Linked DNA regions of Stegostoma tigrinum. The protein of the gene in region 1 purifies or fractionates together with the protein of each later gene. This does not show direct contact. Links are inferred from orthologs where the notes say so. Each region holds a gene or a part of one and is shown on either strand. Other genes may lie near its edges. The genes, in order: bcar1 and bcar3.

Evidence for each region.
Region 2: the proteins of bcar1 (region 1) and bcar3 purify together in Homo sapiens (co-immunoprecipitation; 4 studies listed by BioGRID and IntAct, counting the BioPlex papers as one, with this or other methods). This does not show direct contact. The link is inferred for Stegostoma tigrinum from reciprocal best matches to the Homo sapiens genes BCAR1 and BCAR3.

What each region holds. Positions count from the first base shown.
Region 1 is NC_081369.1:19,944,410-19,953,097, forward strand, and holds the start of bcar1 (breast cancer anti-estrogen resistance protein 1), read left to right. Parts: upstream 1-5,235; 5' UTR 5,236-5,404; coding exon 5,405-5,755; intron 5,756-8,688. UniProt on the Homo sapiens protein: Docking protein which plays a central coordinating role for tyrosine kinase-based signaling related to cell adhesion. Implicated in induction of cell migration and cell branching. Involved in the BCAR3-mediated inhibition of TGFB signaling.
Region 2 is NC_081361.1:85,035,402-85,043,801, forward strand, and holds the start of bcar3 (breast cancer anti-estrogen resistance protein 3), read left to right. Parts: upstream 1-4,715; 5' UTR 4,716-4,877; intron 4,878-8,400. UniProt on the Homo sapiens protein: Acts as an adapter protein downstream of several growth factor receptors to promote cell proliferation, migration, and redistribution of actin fibers.

The DNA.
Region 1 (8,688 bases):
AGGAGGTCAACAGTAATATTTTAGGGCATCGCTGAAGAAGTCAAACATCCTTGCTGATTCATGGGATTCCCCACCTGGTAATTGACCAAAATAGAGGAGATTCAATGCTGGGTAGTAGCAAACAATGAGAAATGTCATCAGTAATGATGCAAAGGTAATACAACAGACTGAAGGGAGCACATAACCCATACTCACCCATCTCATCTCTTGATCCTACCAGCACCTCCTGAAGTTGCAGCTAGCACACTGGGTTCATCAGCTATCCCTGAATCCATTAAAACAGTGTGGAAGCAAGTCATCCTCAATCCCAAGGGTCTGTCTGAGATGGAGAAGCCATAACAATAGATCACACAATTCCTTTTCTCGTGTATTAGCAGAATATTTCTGGAAAATGAATTACATCAGATTTGCAGGCCAAAGATCACTTTTAGATATTCTCGAATCAACCTATTCAGGGATGTTATGACACACCCCTAGAACAGGTGGGACTTGAACCCACGTTGCCTGCCTTAGAGGTAGGAACACTGCCAATGCTTTTGTTACTAATCATTTGTAGCCTAGACCAATAAGTAGGATGTACACCATGTGCTGCTGGTCTTTATAATGTGTCCTCTGTATAGCAATGCAATAAATTAATAAGTAAGAAACTTTCATAATTATCAACTTTAAACCATAGCCTGTATAGTCAAAGGGTAAGTATTTGTCATGAAATGGTTTGTTTAACAATGACAGAACTCTCATCTCAGTCAGTATGTTGTTGTTTTCAGGGCCCACAGGAAAATCTAGGCTGTTGCATTGGCTCTTTTCTGAAGCAGTGCTATTGTGTTAGCGATGCCATTATTTAGATGAGGATGTTAGACCCTAAGATCCCACTTGCCCTCTTAGGTGGATGTAAGATATTCCATGGCACTATTTTGAAGCAAGAGATAACACAGTGTGGAGCTGGAGGAACACAGCAGGCCAGGCAGCATCAGAGGAGCAGGATAGTTGACATTTCGGGTCGAGACCCTTCTTCAGAAAGGGACAAGCCTTTTTTTCTCCATATTTGCAGTAATATGATTGGAATAAAGAAAGTAATCACTAAAGATCATCATTGTTCAACATTAAATGCCCATCAAGTACATGCTTCGCTCTGACACAAATGCCAAGACCCTCATGCAGTTTTTATACCAGCTAACTGCTTTATTACCTTATAATCATTCCTTGTTATGCTAGCTATTAGCTTTTTTTTTAGTTAATGCCTGGAAAATCCAACAGTGTGGGTTCAATCCCTGCACTGACTGAAGTTTTCATGGAGCACTCTTTGTCTCTACCTCTTCTCTTGACTGATCCTGAGGTTAAACCACCGCCAGTTATGTTCGTTTAGCGAGACAGCAGCCCTATGGGCTAGTAAGGCTATGGGAACTTCGTCTTTACTGAAGTATCTGGCATATCTCGTATATTACATTATTATATAAAGCCTTATAAGGACCTATTCAGTGTAATGCAAGCATTCTTCCAATGGACTGTGGATGGGCAATCACAGTTTCACATGGGGCTGCATGATCTTTGCTTATTTATTGGCCATTGTTGAAGTTTGTTTCCAAACTGTTTCAGAACAGTTACAATGTCACAGCGAGGCTTGAGGTGCTTGGCACGGAAAGTCACTGTACACTATGTCATGTCCTAGCTTAATACTTGAATAGAGTTCTGTGAAATCAGGGTGAGGAGAATTAGACTTGGAATGTTTGATACACTTAATAAAGTAATGGAGCAGATTGTGTTTCAAGATTTGAACACACAAGCTTCTAATGATGGACTAAAGACTCTAGAAGTGCTTCAGCACTTTGCAACATGTTTCAATCATTAAAACTTGTGTGCAAGCTTTTCATATGTTCCTCTTGTAATTGTTATGAGTGTCAATGGTTAGATTTTTAACCTTGTTGTTAGTGATTAAGGGATCTATCACAAATGGAGCCACATCATTAACAAATGTCCGCCCTTTAAAGACAATGGAGGCACAGCACAACTAATTTCTTATTTCATGTTTTATGGACAACTGCAATACCTGAGAAACAAATTTCACTGCATGCAGTAAGTGTAAAAATTTGCAAGGTTTGTCACAGGTAGGTACACTACAAAGCCATCATAGAATCCCTACAGTGTGGAAGCAGGCTATTTGGCCCATCGAGTCCACACCAACCCTCCGAAAAGCCCCCCACCCATATCCACTACCCCTACCCAATCCCGATAAACCTGCATTTCCCATGTCTAACCCACTTGGCTTGCACATCACGGGGCAATTTAGCACGGCCAATCCACCTAGCTTGAATATCTTTGGACTATGGGAGGAAACTGGAGCACCTGGAGGAAAACCACACAGACATTGTGAACGTGTAAACTCCACACAGACAGTTGCCCGATGTTGGAATCAATCCTGCGTCCCTTGTGCTGTGAAGCAGCAGTACTAACTACTGAGCTACTGTGCCACCATCATCCCAGCCATGTGACTAAATGAGAGGAGAAAGGCAAAAATATTGAGTTCAGAAGACCACATCACTGGCCAGGAAGTGCCTTAAATACAGGAAACCTTTTGTTGCAGTAAAACCAGAAAATTGCAGTACCATTTCATTCCATATTCTCATTGATTCCAATGATGTGGTTTATTACCTGTGAGTACAGCAGCTAGAATGAATTGATATTTGGGTGCAAATGTAATTATAGGCTATATGATCAAAACACTGTTGTGCAGAATGAGGTCACCTAAGCTCCTCCAAGGTAGAGTCAAATATATTAATTTACAAGTAATATTGATGCCAAGCGATCTCAGAATGAATATTTATCACATAGATGTGCCAGGAAGAGTTAGACCAAGTGTCTTTAATGGTTTGTTTTGATCCTTATCTGTATAAGCTTCTTATCCTTAAGCTTACACGGATCTAATCATTTATTCCCATTTCCCTCTTATCTGTCCCTGTTTCCCATCTCTTTAAGGAACAAAGGAATCATTTGATGGTGAGGACTGCAGTCTATCTATTTTGTCTTCTACCATCTGAGTAGACACAACAATATTTGAGTTATTGAATCTTCATATTTTTGCTCAATCAATCTTTATTGATTAGCCTCTAAAGAAACCTAGACAAGCGGCAAGGAAAATAGATTGGAGGCGTTAGAGAACTGCAGATTCATAGTTGTTTGTTCCTGTCAATGTTATATGGCATTTCCCATATAACATGCAGTTTAATAAAGTGTTGACAACTTTTGTGTATTGGACTAATTAATGTGGTCCTTCTCAAACTTATTTATTTTATTGTTGATTGTGGTTCCATCTGAGAATTGGCTTCAGTATTTCCTGTATTGCAACAATGACTATACTTTCGAAGTACTTTGTGTGTTGTCAAGAGCTTGAAGAGCAGCAAAAGACACTAGCTAGCAAACAGGAAAATAAGTAGAAGAGTCAGAAACCGATAGGGAATTGGGTGAACTGGTGAGAAAACAGGAACTTTAGCAGGCAAGAAGTGGACAGTCAAAAAGACTTGTGGGATGTACCAACAGCGAAGCTGAGCCAAATACAGGAAGTTAAAAATAATTAAGCAAGAAGACATCCAGGAATGAGAAACAGATAGGAGTGAACACACACACACACACACACACACGCACACACAAAGTTATTTGGCCAATCAGGTCTGCACTGGACGTCCAAATGAGCATTTCAGCCCTAGAAAGAATCTGAAGGAGTTCCTCAGAGTGGTGTCCTAGACCCAACCATTTTTAGCTGCTTCATCAATGACCTTGCCCTCCATCATTATGTTAGCAATTGGGTTGTTCACTGGTGATTGCACAATGTTCACGACCATTTGCAACTCCTCAGATATTGAAGCAGCCTGTGTCCATGTATCTCAAGATTTGGACAGCATACTGAATTGGACTAATATATGGCAAGGAAATTTTGTACCAACTAAGTGCAAGGCCATGAGCATTTCCATGAAGAGAGAATCTTGCTCCTTGATATTCAGTGGTATTATCATTGTTGAATCAACATCCTTGGGGTTATCATTGACCAGAAATTGATCTGCACTGCCAGATTAAATACTGTGACTACAGGAGCAGTTTAGATACTATATTTTCTTCAGTAAGTTACTCACCATCAATGCACGATTCACAAGACTCATATCAAGAGCGTGCTTCACACCATCCAGGCCAAAGCAGTCTGCTTCATTGACACCCCATTCACCAGTTTACAACATTCACTCCCTTCGCCTTCGCTGCACAACGATAACAGTGTGTACCATTCAGCAGTAACTCACCAAGGCTCCTCCTACAGAATCTTTCCTCCACCACCGAATGTACACAGGACAGCAAATACGTGTTTACTAATACGTGCAAGTTTCTGTTTAAGTCACGTGCTATCAAAATTTCTGAATTCGGTTAATGAACAAAAAGTAATATCTGTAAAACAGCAATTAATCAACCTGGAATAACACTTTCTATTTTCTGTCTTTATTTCCATCCCATTACCTACTGAAATTCATAGGCGTTTATAACTTTGAGGTAAATATCTTTAAAAAATGCATAAATCATTGGCTATGAACCTTTGGTGGTCGTGCAGAGAGTGGGAGAAAGTAAAACGAGGATAGAACCACACTCAGTTTCAATGACAAACTGAAATTGAGAGAATCAGCTCTATAGCAGACAAGGCAATGAAATGTTTGAGCCCGGAAACTGTGTCGAATTCCAGGACACTGCTAATCCCATGTTATTAATAGAACGTAAAGATGCAGCACTTGGTTATGAGTTTCTTTCAAGATAACCTCAAAAACCATGGCGCTCCTGTGAACACGGTGGTTCAGGCTGCACAGGGACGCTGTGTAGCTCCGCACTGCTCTGTCCTGCGCTGCTTCATGTCAAAGAGTAGTGAAGGAGATTAAGCTCCGGCAATAACCCCCTGTGTAGACAGGCTCAGCGACTCTCTATTGCCGACGTGTAACTGTTTGCACTGAGCTCATGGGGAGGTGCACTCCAGTGAACGGAGGCTCTCTGTTTTGTGTGCGGGCTTTTGCAAACAGCTGATCGAACCAAACTGACAGAGCCCCAGCTGCTGTCACTGTTCCTTTTAGCAGAAAAGTGCGAGGCAGGCCATTCCTGGAGAAAGTAGGGGTATGGTCCCTTTAATGGAAACTCTTTACCCACTGGATTGAGTCGGTTTCCCAGCGCCTGCGCTCTGCACGGTTGGCGGTGCCTTTAAGGTGAAATTGCCGATTTCGTCATTGCAGGCGATTGAGGGGAGGAAGAGAAAGAGGAGGAGAGAGAGAAAGAAAGAAAAGAAGAGAAGAAAAGAAGAAGAAGAAGAAGAAGAAGAAGTAGTAGTGGGGTGGTGGGTCTGGGCGTTAGAACAAGGATTCAGTACGAGACAGTGTGCAAGTTAATGTGTAGGAGCCCAGGGCTGGGGAAGAGCCAGAGAGAGACACACACACAGACTGACAGGAGGCTGGGTTGGGGGGTGGGAAAGCGAGTGGAAATTCACCAGGAGCGCAGTTCCCTGCCAGAGGCTGTCACTGAACTGAAGATTACAGAGCTGCAAGCAAACGGAACCTGCGACTTCAGGGTGCTGACAGTCCTGGGTGGCAGAGGGAGACGATGGGATCCACCTGATCGCCTTCCCGAAAAATCAGGCAGTTATTCCCAGCCGCCTTCCCAACGCTGGGAGGAAACTGATCAGCACGACATCCCTTTCAGATCGCCCGGTGCGGAGGAAGAGCCGGAGATGTCTGTGCCTGTGAGTATCTCTTCACGTTCACAAAGTCCCCTTCCCGTGCCTGCAGTGAAGTGCAGCCTCGCTGGCCAGTGGCTCCCCCCGAATCGGCTGCCGCTGTTTGCAAAGCTCGGGTGGGTGATGGTGCCGCGATGTTAGTTGGAGCTGGTTCTGTTTGAATGGGGAGTGTGGAGGCCGGGGCCCCAGGCTGCTAGCTGGAACTCTGTGCACGACCGTTCCCTCTCCTGCGAGACCGGTCCCAAGCCCCGGACCAGTACTTACGAGGCTCCTTTTTATGATAGAGGAGAGTGGGCATTTATTTTCGTGTGCACTTTATCCTGCAGAGTATTTGCAACTGTAAGAGAATCCAGATTCAGATTCGTCTGTGTGGTAAATACTGTCTTTCAGGTTGTTAAATGCAGCGTTTACTGGCAAACCGGGTTTTTTTCTGAATTGGAGGAATTGGTTAAATCTTGTTCGTTTGTTCGCAAATGCACTACGCAAGAATTACAAATTGTTTATTGATGCTCCGAGTGTGGGTGTGAAACTTCATAGCTGAGTATTACCACCTGATCCTACTCTTTGACTATCAACGCCACCCTCCGACCCCCAAAAGTAGGAGAACAAATTTCACCAGAAACTTTTCACTCGAACATAGTTCATCATTTCTATGTTGATATGTTCCCAGTATCCATCTGCCCCTCTCTGTCTTCGGGCTGTTTTCTTCGAACACAATAACAGAGCGAGAGAAAATAAGCAAATCTGGGAACATGGAATAAGCCTTACAGAGATTCAATTCCGTCAAGGCTGTGTACACATCGGCCGCATTCACTGGCCTGAAGGTCAGCTACTGGAACCCTGGTTATGAACAATGTATTTTGGGGTCTTGTTGCCGTTGAGAAGGTGGTGATAAGTTGCCTTTTGAGAATTACTGTAGTCCTGCGGTAAAATGGACTCGTGATACTGTTAGCTGGAGAATTTCAGCTTGTTTTATTGGGCAAAGAAGAAGAAACAGGGAGTTACTTCTGAGATCTGGATAGTAAGTGACTTGAAGGGGCACTTTCAGGTTGTACTGTTCCATGTGCCTGCTGCCCCTGTCAGTCTCTGCTAGCAGACGGTTACCTATAGTTCAACAGCTTAAAATATAGCTGCACAAGTCAAAAGAAACTCGTCTTGGCATGGTACAAAATTACTTTCCTGTTGCTTAATAGACTAAAACCTGGGTACAAAGCTTGTAATGTGCGTGTGACAACAGAAATGCAGCATATGATATGAGCCCAAATTATAATTACTGTAATAAAAGTTCAAAATGACCATTTGGATGGTTTCACTTTACTGTTTTCAGGCTGTGTTGGTACAAGGGCCAAATCAGACATTTTTACTAATGTCTTAGCTGAACTGACTTTAATGTGGAACAGCATGATCGGCGTGCACTGCCAATATGTATCAAATAACAGGGTTATCGCAGTACCTAGGTGGGGTGCTTAGAGTAATTATATAGTAGCAAAGGAACAGGATCTGATTCCTTCTATTTCACTTGTTGGTTTTTAGATCAGTGCACCTCACTGGAACTGAAATCAAATGAAATGCAATAAACGGAGAGCTGATTTAAGTTAAAACGTTTTTTTTTGCTGACCGTGTTTGTTGTCTGTGAGTAATGACTCAGCATCTGTGCTGTGAAAACTATACCGTTTGCTTGAGTGAATATAAATGCAGTGCTGGCAAATTGTACCAAATGTGAGTAGCTTCACCGACTCTGAGAGGATAGATCGGTGACAGGGACCACCATTGGAACTCTGTAGAATTTTGCCAAGTCTCTCTTTTTATGAAAAAATAAACAAAGATCATCAACAGAAACAAATACTTTTGGGGGAAATTGAATAAAACACAGTTGTAAATAATCATGTAAGGCTTTAGTTTGTACAAGAACAGCAGTTTGAATGGGAATTATTCGGTTCAGATAGTCTGTCTGTCTGTTCCAGTATTAGATAAACTGCTTCATAAACTTTATTTACTGGGAAGGTTGTGTGTATTGGTAATGTTACTGAACTGCACGTTGAAGTTCAGAGGGCATGGATTTGAATGCCACCATGGCAGATAGTAAAATTCGAATTCAATTTTTAAAAAAAATCCTGAAATTGAAAAGCTAGCCTAATGATGACCATGAAGCCAATGTTGCAAAAACCCATCTAGTTTACTCATGTCCTTTGGAGAAGGGAATTTATTGCCCCCTACCTGGTCTGGACTAGATGTGACTGCAGAGCCACAGCAGTATGTTAGTCTTAGCTGTCCTCTGAAATGGCCCTAGCAAGGCTGTTAGGGATTGGAAATAAATGCTAGACCAGCCTGAGATGACCGTAAGACGTAGGAGTGGAAGTAAGGCCATTCAGCCCATCAAGTCCACTCCACCATTTAAATCATGACTGATGGGCATTTCAACTCAACTTCCCTGCACTTTCCCCGTAGCCTTTGATTCCTTCTGAGATCAAGAATCTGTCGATCTCTGCCTTGAAGGCTTCTAACGTCCCAGCCTCCACTGCACTCCGTGGCAATGAATTCCACAAGCCCACCACTCTCTGACTGAAGAAATGTCATCAAATTTCAGTTTTAAATTTACCCCCTCTAATTTTAAGGCTGTGCCCACGGGTCCTAGCCTCCCCGCCTAATGGAAACAACTTCCTGGTGTCCACCCCTTCTAAACCATACATTATCTTGTAAGTTTCTATCAGATCTCCCCTCAACCTTCTAAACTCTGAGTACAATCCCAGGATCCTTAGCCGTTCATCATATGTTAAACCTACCATTCCAGGGATCATTCATGTGAATCTCTGCTGGACATGCTCCAGGGCTAATATGTCCTTCCTGAGGTGTGGGGCCCAAAATTAGACTCAGCATTCTAAATGGGGCCGAACTAGAGCTTTATAAAGCCTCAGAAGCACATCATTGCTTTTATATTC
Region 2 (8,400 bases), on another chromosome or scaffold:
AGTAGGAGACCATTTGGTCCTTTTGGTTGGTTCTGCCATTTGGTATGACCATTGCTAATCATCCAGCTCAGTTTTTTTTTTCCTGCCTGACCGCTACTGGTGCCTGGCTTTAGGAATGATCATGTTGCCACCCTCAATGAACTTGCTGAAATAGCCAGTTCTCCTTATTTGAGCCCTGGACTCTTTGACCACGTGGGGCATCACAAAAGAACTTGCAGTTCACAAAAATGCCCTGGACAGTGATCAGACAGTTGGCGACCTCACTTTATTTTCACACCTGGAAACCAGGGAAAGTGAAGACAGTGGCCACACCCAAAGCAGGAGATAGAGCCATGACCCTGGTCCATGATTTTTGGCTGGGAATGCTGGGAAGAGAACTTGACTGGAGACATCCAAAGAGAGAATTGTGATTCAACTCGCGTGAGGTTTTTCAACAACTTTCAGTAAATGCTGGAAGGAAGACAGTAATAGCGTCCTTTTAGATCACCACATTGGTTCATCAGTAGCAGCTTTCTGGCCAATGACTTAGGATAACATCAAAAGTGCCTGATTGGTAAGGTAACAAGTTTATTTTTTATTCTTTATTTCTTAAGCCTTGGGAATTTAGAATAATGGGAACGGAGGTCAGGGCAGTTGAATGTTCCTCCTGCAGAATGTGGGAGGTAAGGGTCACCACTAGTGTCCCTGCTGACTACATCTGCAGGAAGTGCACCCAACTCCAGCTCCTTGAAAACCGCGTTAGGGAACTGGAGCTGGAGCTGGATGAGCTTCGGATCATTCGGGAGGCAGAGGGGGTTATTGAGAGGAGTTACAGGGAGGTAGTCACTCCTCGTACAGGAAAAAGGCAGATGGGTTATGGTCAGGGGACGGAAAGGGAACCGGCAGGCAGGCCAGGGATCCCCTGTGGCCATTCCCCTCAACAATAAGTATACCATTTTGGATACTGTTGGGGGGGATGACTTTCCAGGGGAAAGCAGTGGGGCACAGGTCTCTGGCACAGAGTCTGTCCCTGCTGCTCAGCAGGGAAGGGGGAAGAGGAGCAGAGCATTAGTCATTGGGGACTCCATAGTTAGGGGCAAAGATAGGAGGTTCTGTGGGGTCGAGAGAGACTCACAGTTGGTGTGTTGCCTCCCAGGTGCCAGGGTGCGTGATGTCTCTGATCGTGTTTTTGGGATCCCTAAGGGGGAGGGGGAGCAGCCCCAAGTCGTGGTCCACATTGGCACCAACGACATAGGTAGGAAGAGAGACGGAGATTTAAGGCAGAAATTCAGGGAGCTAGGATGGAAGCTGAGAGCTAGGATGAACAGAGTTGTTGTCTCTGGTTTGTTGCCCGAGCCACGTGCTAGTGAGGCGAGGAATAGGGGAGAGAGAGGGGTTGAACACGTAGCTACAGGGATGGTGCAGGAGGGAGGGTTTTGGATTCTTGGATAATTGGGACTCTTTCTGGGGTAGGTGGGACCTCTACAAGGAAGATGGTCTTCACCTGAACCAGAGGAGTACCGATATCCTGGGGGGGGGGGGAAATTTGCTAAGGCTGTTCCGGTGGGTTTAAACTAATTCAGTAGGGGGATGGGCACCAAAATTGTAGTTCGACTGTAGAAAAGGTTGAGAGTAGGGTGGTCTGAAATAAAGATTCAGGGAAGCAAGATGGCACCGGCAAGCAAGAAGTTGGTTTGAAGTGTGTCTACTTCAATGCCAGGAGTATCCGGAATAAGGTGGGTGAACTTGCAGCATGGATTAGTACCTGGGACTTCAATGTTGTGGCCATTTCAGAGACATGGATAGAGCAGGGACAGGAATGGTTGTTGCAGGTTCCGGGATTTAGATGTTTCAGTAAGAACAGAGAAGATGGTAAAAGGGGCAGAGGTGTGGCATTGTTGGTCAAGGACTGTATTACAGTTGCAGAAAGGATGTTTGGGGACTTGTCAACTGAGGTAGTATGGGCTGAGATTAGAAACAGGAAAGGAGAGGTCACCCTGTTGGGAGTTTTCTATAGGCCTCCGAATAGTTCCAGAGATATAGAGGAAAGGATAGCAAAGATGATTCTCGATAGGCGTGAGAGAGATGGGGTAGTTGTCATGGGGGACTTCAACTTTCCAGATATTGACTGGGAACACTATAGTTCCAGTACTATAGATGGGTCAGTTTTTGTCCAGAGTGTGCAGGAGGGCTTCCTGACACAGTATGTAGATAGGCCAACAAGGGGCGAAGCCACATTAGATTTGGTACTGGGTACTGAGCCCAGCCAGGTGTTAGATTTGGAAGTAGGTGAGCACTTTGGTGATAGTGATCACAATTCTGTTATGTTTACTTTAGTGATGGAAAGGGATAGGTGTATACCACTGGGCAAGAGTTATAGCTGGGGGAAAGGCAATTACAATGAGATTAGGCAAGATTTAGGGAGCATAGGATGGGGAAGGAAACTGCAGGGGATGGGCACATTAGAAATGTGGAGCTTATTCAAGGAAAAGCTCCCGTGTGTCCTAGATAAATATGTACCTGTCAGGCAGGGAGGAAGCTGTAGAGTGCGGGAGCCATGGTTTACGAAGGACGTGGAATCTCTGGTCAAGAGGAAGAAGAAGGCTTATATTAGGATGAGATGCGAAGGCTCAGTTAGGGCACTTGAGGGCTACGAGGTAGCCCGGAAAGACCTAAAGAGAGAGCTCAGAAGAGCCAGGAGGAGACATGAGAAGTTGTTGGCGGATAGGATCGGGGTTAAACCCTAAGGCTTTCTATAGGTATTTAAGGAATAAAAGAATGACGAAAGCAAGATTAGGCCCAATCAAGGATAGTAGTGGTAAGTTGTGTGTGGAGTCAGATAAGATAGGGGAAGCGCTAAATGAATACTTTTCAACAGTATTCACTCTAGAAAACGACAATGTTGTCGAGGAGAATACTGAGATACAGGCTACTAGACTAGCTGGGATTGAAGTTTACACGGAAGAGGTATTAGAAATCCTTCAGAAGGTGAAGATAGATAAGTCCCCTGGGCCGGATGGGATTTATCCTCGGATCCTCTGGGAAGCTAGGAAGGAGATCGCCGAGCCTTTGGCATTGATCTTTAGCTCAGCTCATTGTCTACAGGGATAGTGCCAGATGACTGGAGGATAGCAAATGTGGTTCCCCTGTTCAAGAAGGAGAGTAGAGACAACCCTGGTAATTATAGACCAGTCAGCCTTACCTCAGTTGTTGGTAAAGTGTTGGAAAAGGTTATAAGGGATAGGATTTATATCATCTAGAAAAGAATAAATTGATTGGGATAGTCAGCACGGTTTTGTGAAGGGAAGGTCGTGCCTCGCAAACCTTATTGAGTTCTTTGAGAAGGTGACCAAACAGGTAGATGAGAGTAAACCGGTTGATGTGGTATATATGGATTTCAGCAAGGCGTTTGATAAGGTTCCCCACAATAGGCTATTGTACAAAATCCGGAGGAATGGAATTGTGGGAGATATAGCAGTTTGGATCGGAAATTGGCTTGCTGAAAGAAGACAGAGGGTGGTAGTTGATGGGAAATGTTCATCCTGGAGTCCAGTTACTAGTGGTGTACCACAAGGGTCGGTGTTGGGTCCACTGCTGTTTGTCATTTTTATAGATGACCTGGATGACTGTGTAGAAGGATGGGTTAGTAAATTTGCAGACGACACTAAGGTCGGTGGAGTTGTGGATAGTGACGAAGGATGCTGTAGGTTGCAGAGACATAGATAAGCTGCAGAGCTGGGCTGAGAGGTGGCAAATGGAGTTTAATGCAGACAAGTGTGAGGTGATGCACTTTGGTAGAAGTAACCGGAAGGCAAAGTACTGGACTAATGGTAAGATTCTTGGTAGTGTAGATGAGCAGAGAGATCTGTGTCCATGTACACAGATCCTTGAAAGTTGCCACCCAGGTTGACAGGGCTGTTAAGAAGGCATACAGTGTTTTAGCTTTTATTAATAGAGGGATTGAGTTCTGGAACCAAGAGGTTATGCTGCAGCTGTACAAAACTCTGGTGTGGCCGCACTTGGAGTATTGTGTACAGTTCTGGTCACCGCATTATAAGAAGGATGTGGAAGCTTTGGAAAGGGTGCAGAGGAGATTTACTAGGATGTTGCCTGGTATGGAGGGAAGGTCTTATGAGGAAAGGCTGAGGGACTTGAGGCTGTTTTCATTAGAGAGGAGAAGGTTGAGAGGTGACTTAATTGAAACATATAAAATAATCAGAGGGTTAGATAGGGTGGATAGGGAGAGCCTTTTTCCTCGGATGGTGATGGTGAGCACGAGGGGGCATAGCTTTAAATTGAGGGGTGAAAGATATAGGACAGATGTCAGAGGTAGTTTCTTTACTCAGAATAGTAAGGGAATGGAAGGCTTTTCCTGCAACGGTAGTAGATTCGCCAACTTTAGGTACATTTAAGTCATCATTGGATAAGCATATGGACGTACATGGAATAGTGTAGGTTAGATGGGCTTGAGATCGGTATGACAGGTCGGCACAACATCGAGGGCCGAAGGGCCTGTACTGTGCTGTAATGTTCTATAAATGATTGAATTGGCTTTATTGTCACATGTACTCAAATGAGCACAGTGAAAAGTTCATAAGCTACCACTTACAACTAGTCACCATCCGTTCGAGTTTTACCTGTTGATCGGCCATAAAATTGGATTGTGTTATCTTTCTGCGCTGAAGGCTATTTCGTGAGCTGAGCTAAGGTCTGGCACTGCTGGGAAATGGTTCAGACTCTCAACACTGCAGTCTGACCTCTCTCTCTCTCTCTCTCTCACGCATACAGATCCCAGGCTCTCCTGATCAGACAGGATACAACCATCCAGGCAAACAGAGGCAACTCATTCAGAAGGTGCTCAGCTCTGTCCCGTGCAGAACACTGTGCTCTGTGGGTAGGTAGGTGATTAACTCCACCTTCGGCGAAACGCGGAGTATTTGCCTGATTGTCAGCAATTGTTTTAATTGGATTAGGAAGCTGGTCCAACAGTAGATCGGAAACATTGTGAACGCGTTGGGCTTTGTGCAATTTTTAATCGAGTGGCGTCAAGAAAACTCTTTTCACCTGGAGTGTTGGTGAAGGCTGTGAAGAGTATCGTAGGCGCGCTGCGTTTCTAATTACTGTACACGGTAACGAGTATGTTCGAGCAGAGTGCCCCGTGGCGAAGGTACTCCGGGTGAAATGCCTAACCAGCCCCACTCCTCTCTGTCAGTCCAAACTCTCAGCAGACTGGTCTCCTCACTGAAACCGCAGTGCTAGAGAATCCAAGATAATAAAGTGTGAGGCTGGATGAACACAGCGGGCCAAGCAGCATCTCAGGAGCACAAAAGCTGACGTTTCGTGCTTAGACCCTTCATCCCGAAACGTCAGCTTTTGTGCTCCTGAGATGCTGCTTGGCCTGCTGTGTTCATCCAGCTCCACATTTTGTTATCTGAGACCGCAGTGTTGCCTTGTTTCTGACTTTGCAGCCTGATAATTGAACGGAAATTGCAGTTTCTTCCACAAATGTTTTACTGCTTTCACGTGTTGTCTGGGGACCAGCGTTGAGAGTTAAAGGTCACCTCATCTCTGATCCGCTTGTTTAAACAATGCAACCGGGGATAAGTTATCTGCAGAGTCCCTTGCTAACACTGAAGCAGAAAATCTCGTCAGTTGAAATCGTCCTGTCTGGCCGAAGCTTCCTTCATTGTCCAGTTATTTTAAATTGAACGTTTTACTTAAAACCTTGATAAGGGGAATGTTCCACAAGAACATGTCTGTGTGTTTTAGAACTGGATTTAGTATCTTCCTCACAGCATTTATATCTAAATGAAGTGGGATTGAGTTTGAAGAAAATGTTCAGCTATGCAGCCCTCTCCTAACACGAGGACATCACAGAGCTCAGTGATTGTGAGCAATGCTGTAGTCAAGTCTATGCCCCAGAGCAAATATTTTTCTTTCCCCCATTCATCTTGACTGGGGAAGAAATATTGACCAGGCCTTTTCAGAGCATTACCCAGCTTTTCTTCAACATGGTGCAGTGGGAGCTGGGTACATCTACCTGAGGGGGCAGCTGGAGTCTCAGTTTAGTGTCTCATCCAAACAATGCATGTAGAACTTGGATAAAAGTGTTCAAGGAAACCTTGACTTCAACTAGGGGTTGGGATGAAAACCAGAACCACTGCGTCATTCTTATTACAGTGGTGTTTTGATTGGATTCATATCAGTGCATTGTGAGCATCAAACTGAAAAGAAAATGTTTACCATGCACTTCCTTTCTCTGGGAAAGACACCCCTTTGAAAATTTATATTTTTTTATTATAAGAGGTCCTGCTAAACAACCCTATCAAGATTACGCATAGATGTTTCCCCCACAGAATGAGGCCATTTGGCCCGTCATCTTTGTACTGGTCAACAAAGATCTGACTATACTAATCCCATTTTCCAATTCTTGGCCCATAGCCCTGGAAGTTATGGCAATGCAAGTCAATACCTAAATACTGCTTCAATGTTGAGTTTCTGATTCAACCACCCTTTCAATTTGCAAGTTAGAAACACCCACTATCTGCTCCTGTGAAAAGATTTCTCTTTGAGTCTCCACTTAGCATTTTACCACTTATTGACCCCTTTACTAATGGGGGAAAAAATGCCTTGCTATCTGGCTTGTCTATGCCTTGCATAATCTTGTACTCATCTGTCTGATCTCCTCTCAACTCCAATTCATCCAATCATTCCCCATAGCTTAGACCCTCTAACCCAGACAGCATCCTACTAAGTCTCCTCTGCACCCTCACTAGTGCAATCACATCCTTCCACAATCACATGTGGTGACCAGAACTGCATGCAGTGCTCCAATTGTGGTTTATCCAACAATTTATGGTTTTCATAGAAAAATCAATGGAAGCACAATATGCAAACACCATCCATAATCCTGGCAGATCTTATATTTATTCTGTTAACCCTAGTATTTATTTTGTTCAATCATTATTGGCCAATTTTTACTGAGATGGCCTGAAATCTCTGAGTCCAGCAGACTTACATTGGAATTGCAATTGGTGTGTGATCTCGTGACTTAAGAACTCGCTTTGACACCAAATGCAAGTAGTTAGTGATGCAGAATGACCAGAGTGCAAAGAGGAGGTGGAGAGTTATCTACATTGGGAAAAAATATCTCTTTGGTTCTTGGTTTTGTTTTGAACATATAAAACAAACAGGAAGCTCTCCAACCAAATAGACAGGAGACTTATTTCAATAACTTAGAGACAGTAGGGACTATAGATGCTGAAAGCTGGAATCAATAAATGTGGAGCTGGTAAATGGGAGGGTCAGTGGCCTAGTGGTGTTATCGTTGGACTGTTAATCCAGATAACATTCTGGGAACCCAGGTTCAAATGCTGCCACAGCAGATGGTGGAATTTGAATACAATAAAAATATCTGGAATTAAGAATCTATGATGACCATGACCCCATTGTTGATTGCTGGAAAAACCCCATCTGGTTCACTAATGTCCTTTTAGGGAAGGAAACTGCCATCCTTACCTCGTCTCGCCTACATGTTACTCCAGACCCACGGCAATAGGGTTGACTTTTAACTGCCCTCTAAGGGATGGGCAGTAAATGCTGCCTCACCATTGATGCCCTCATCCTGTGAATGATTAAAGGTAAAGCACAGCAGGTCAGACAGCATCCATAGGATTTTGGACCGAAACATCGACTTTCCTTTTCCTTGGATGCTGTCTGACCTGCTGTGCTTTTCCAGCTCCACATTTATTGATGCTTATTTCAATATTTCACTTGGTGCTCTACATTACTCATTAAAGTTCAAGCATTGCTGAGTGTTGAGTGTGGACTGAAATAACTAGTAGCGAGTTTTGAGAAGATTTGTAGCTCGGGTTGAGATTCTGGATGTGAGTTTGCTCGCTGAGCTGGAAGGTTAGTTTTCAGATGTTTTGTCACCATTCTAGGTAACATTATCAGTGAGCCTCTGACCAAGCGCTGGTGTTATGTCCTGCTTTCTATTTATCTGTTTAGGTTTCCTTGGGTTGGTGATGTCATTTCCTGTTCTTTTTCTCAGAGGGTGGTAGATTGATTTGGAGCCAATGTGTTTGTTGATGGAGTTCCGGTTGGAATGCCATGCTGCTAGGAATTCTCATGCATGTCTCTGTTTGGCTTGTCCTAGGATGGATGTGTTGTCCCAATCAAAGTGGTGTCCTTCCTCATCTGTATGTAAGGGTACTCGTGATAGTGGGTCATGTCATTTTGTGGCTAGTGATCCTGAAAGGGGAACTGTTCAAATTGGCATGATCATGTTTTGAATGTGAATGCTGCTCTTTCTGTGTTCTTCCAGTCTGCCTAAAAATTGCACTTCCCACCCGCACTCATCTCCTGATCAACCAGGTTTTACAAAACATTCACAGCTGCCCAATTTTCACCCAAAACAGA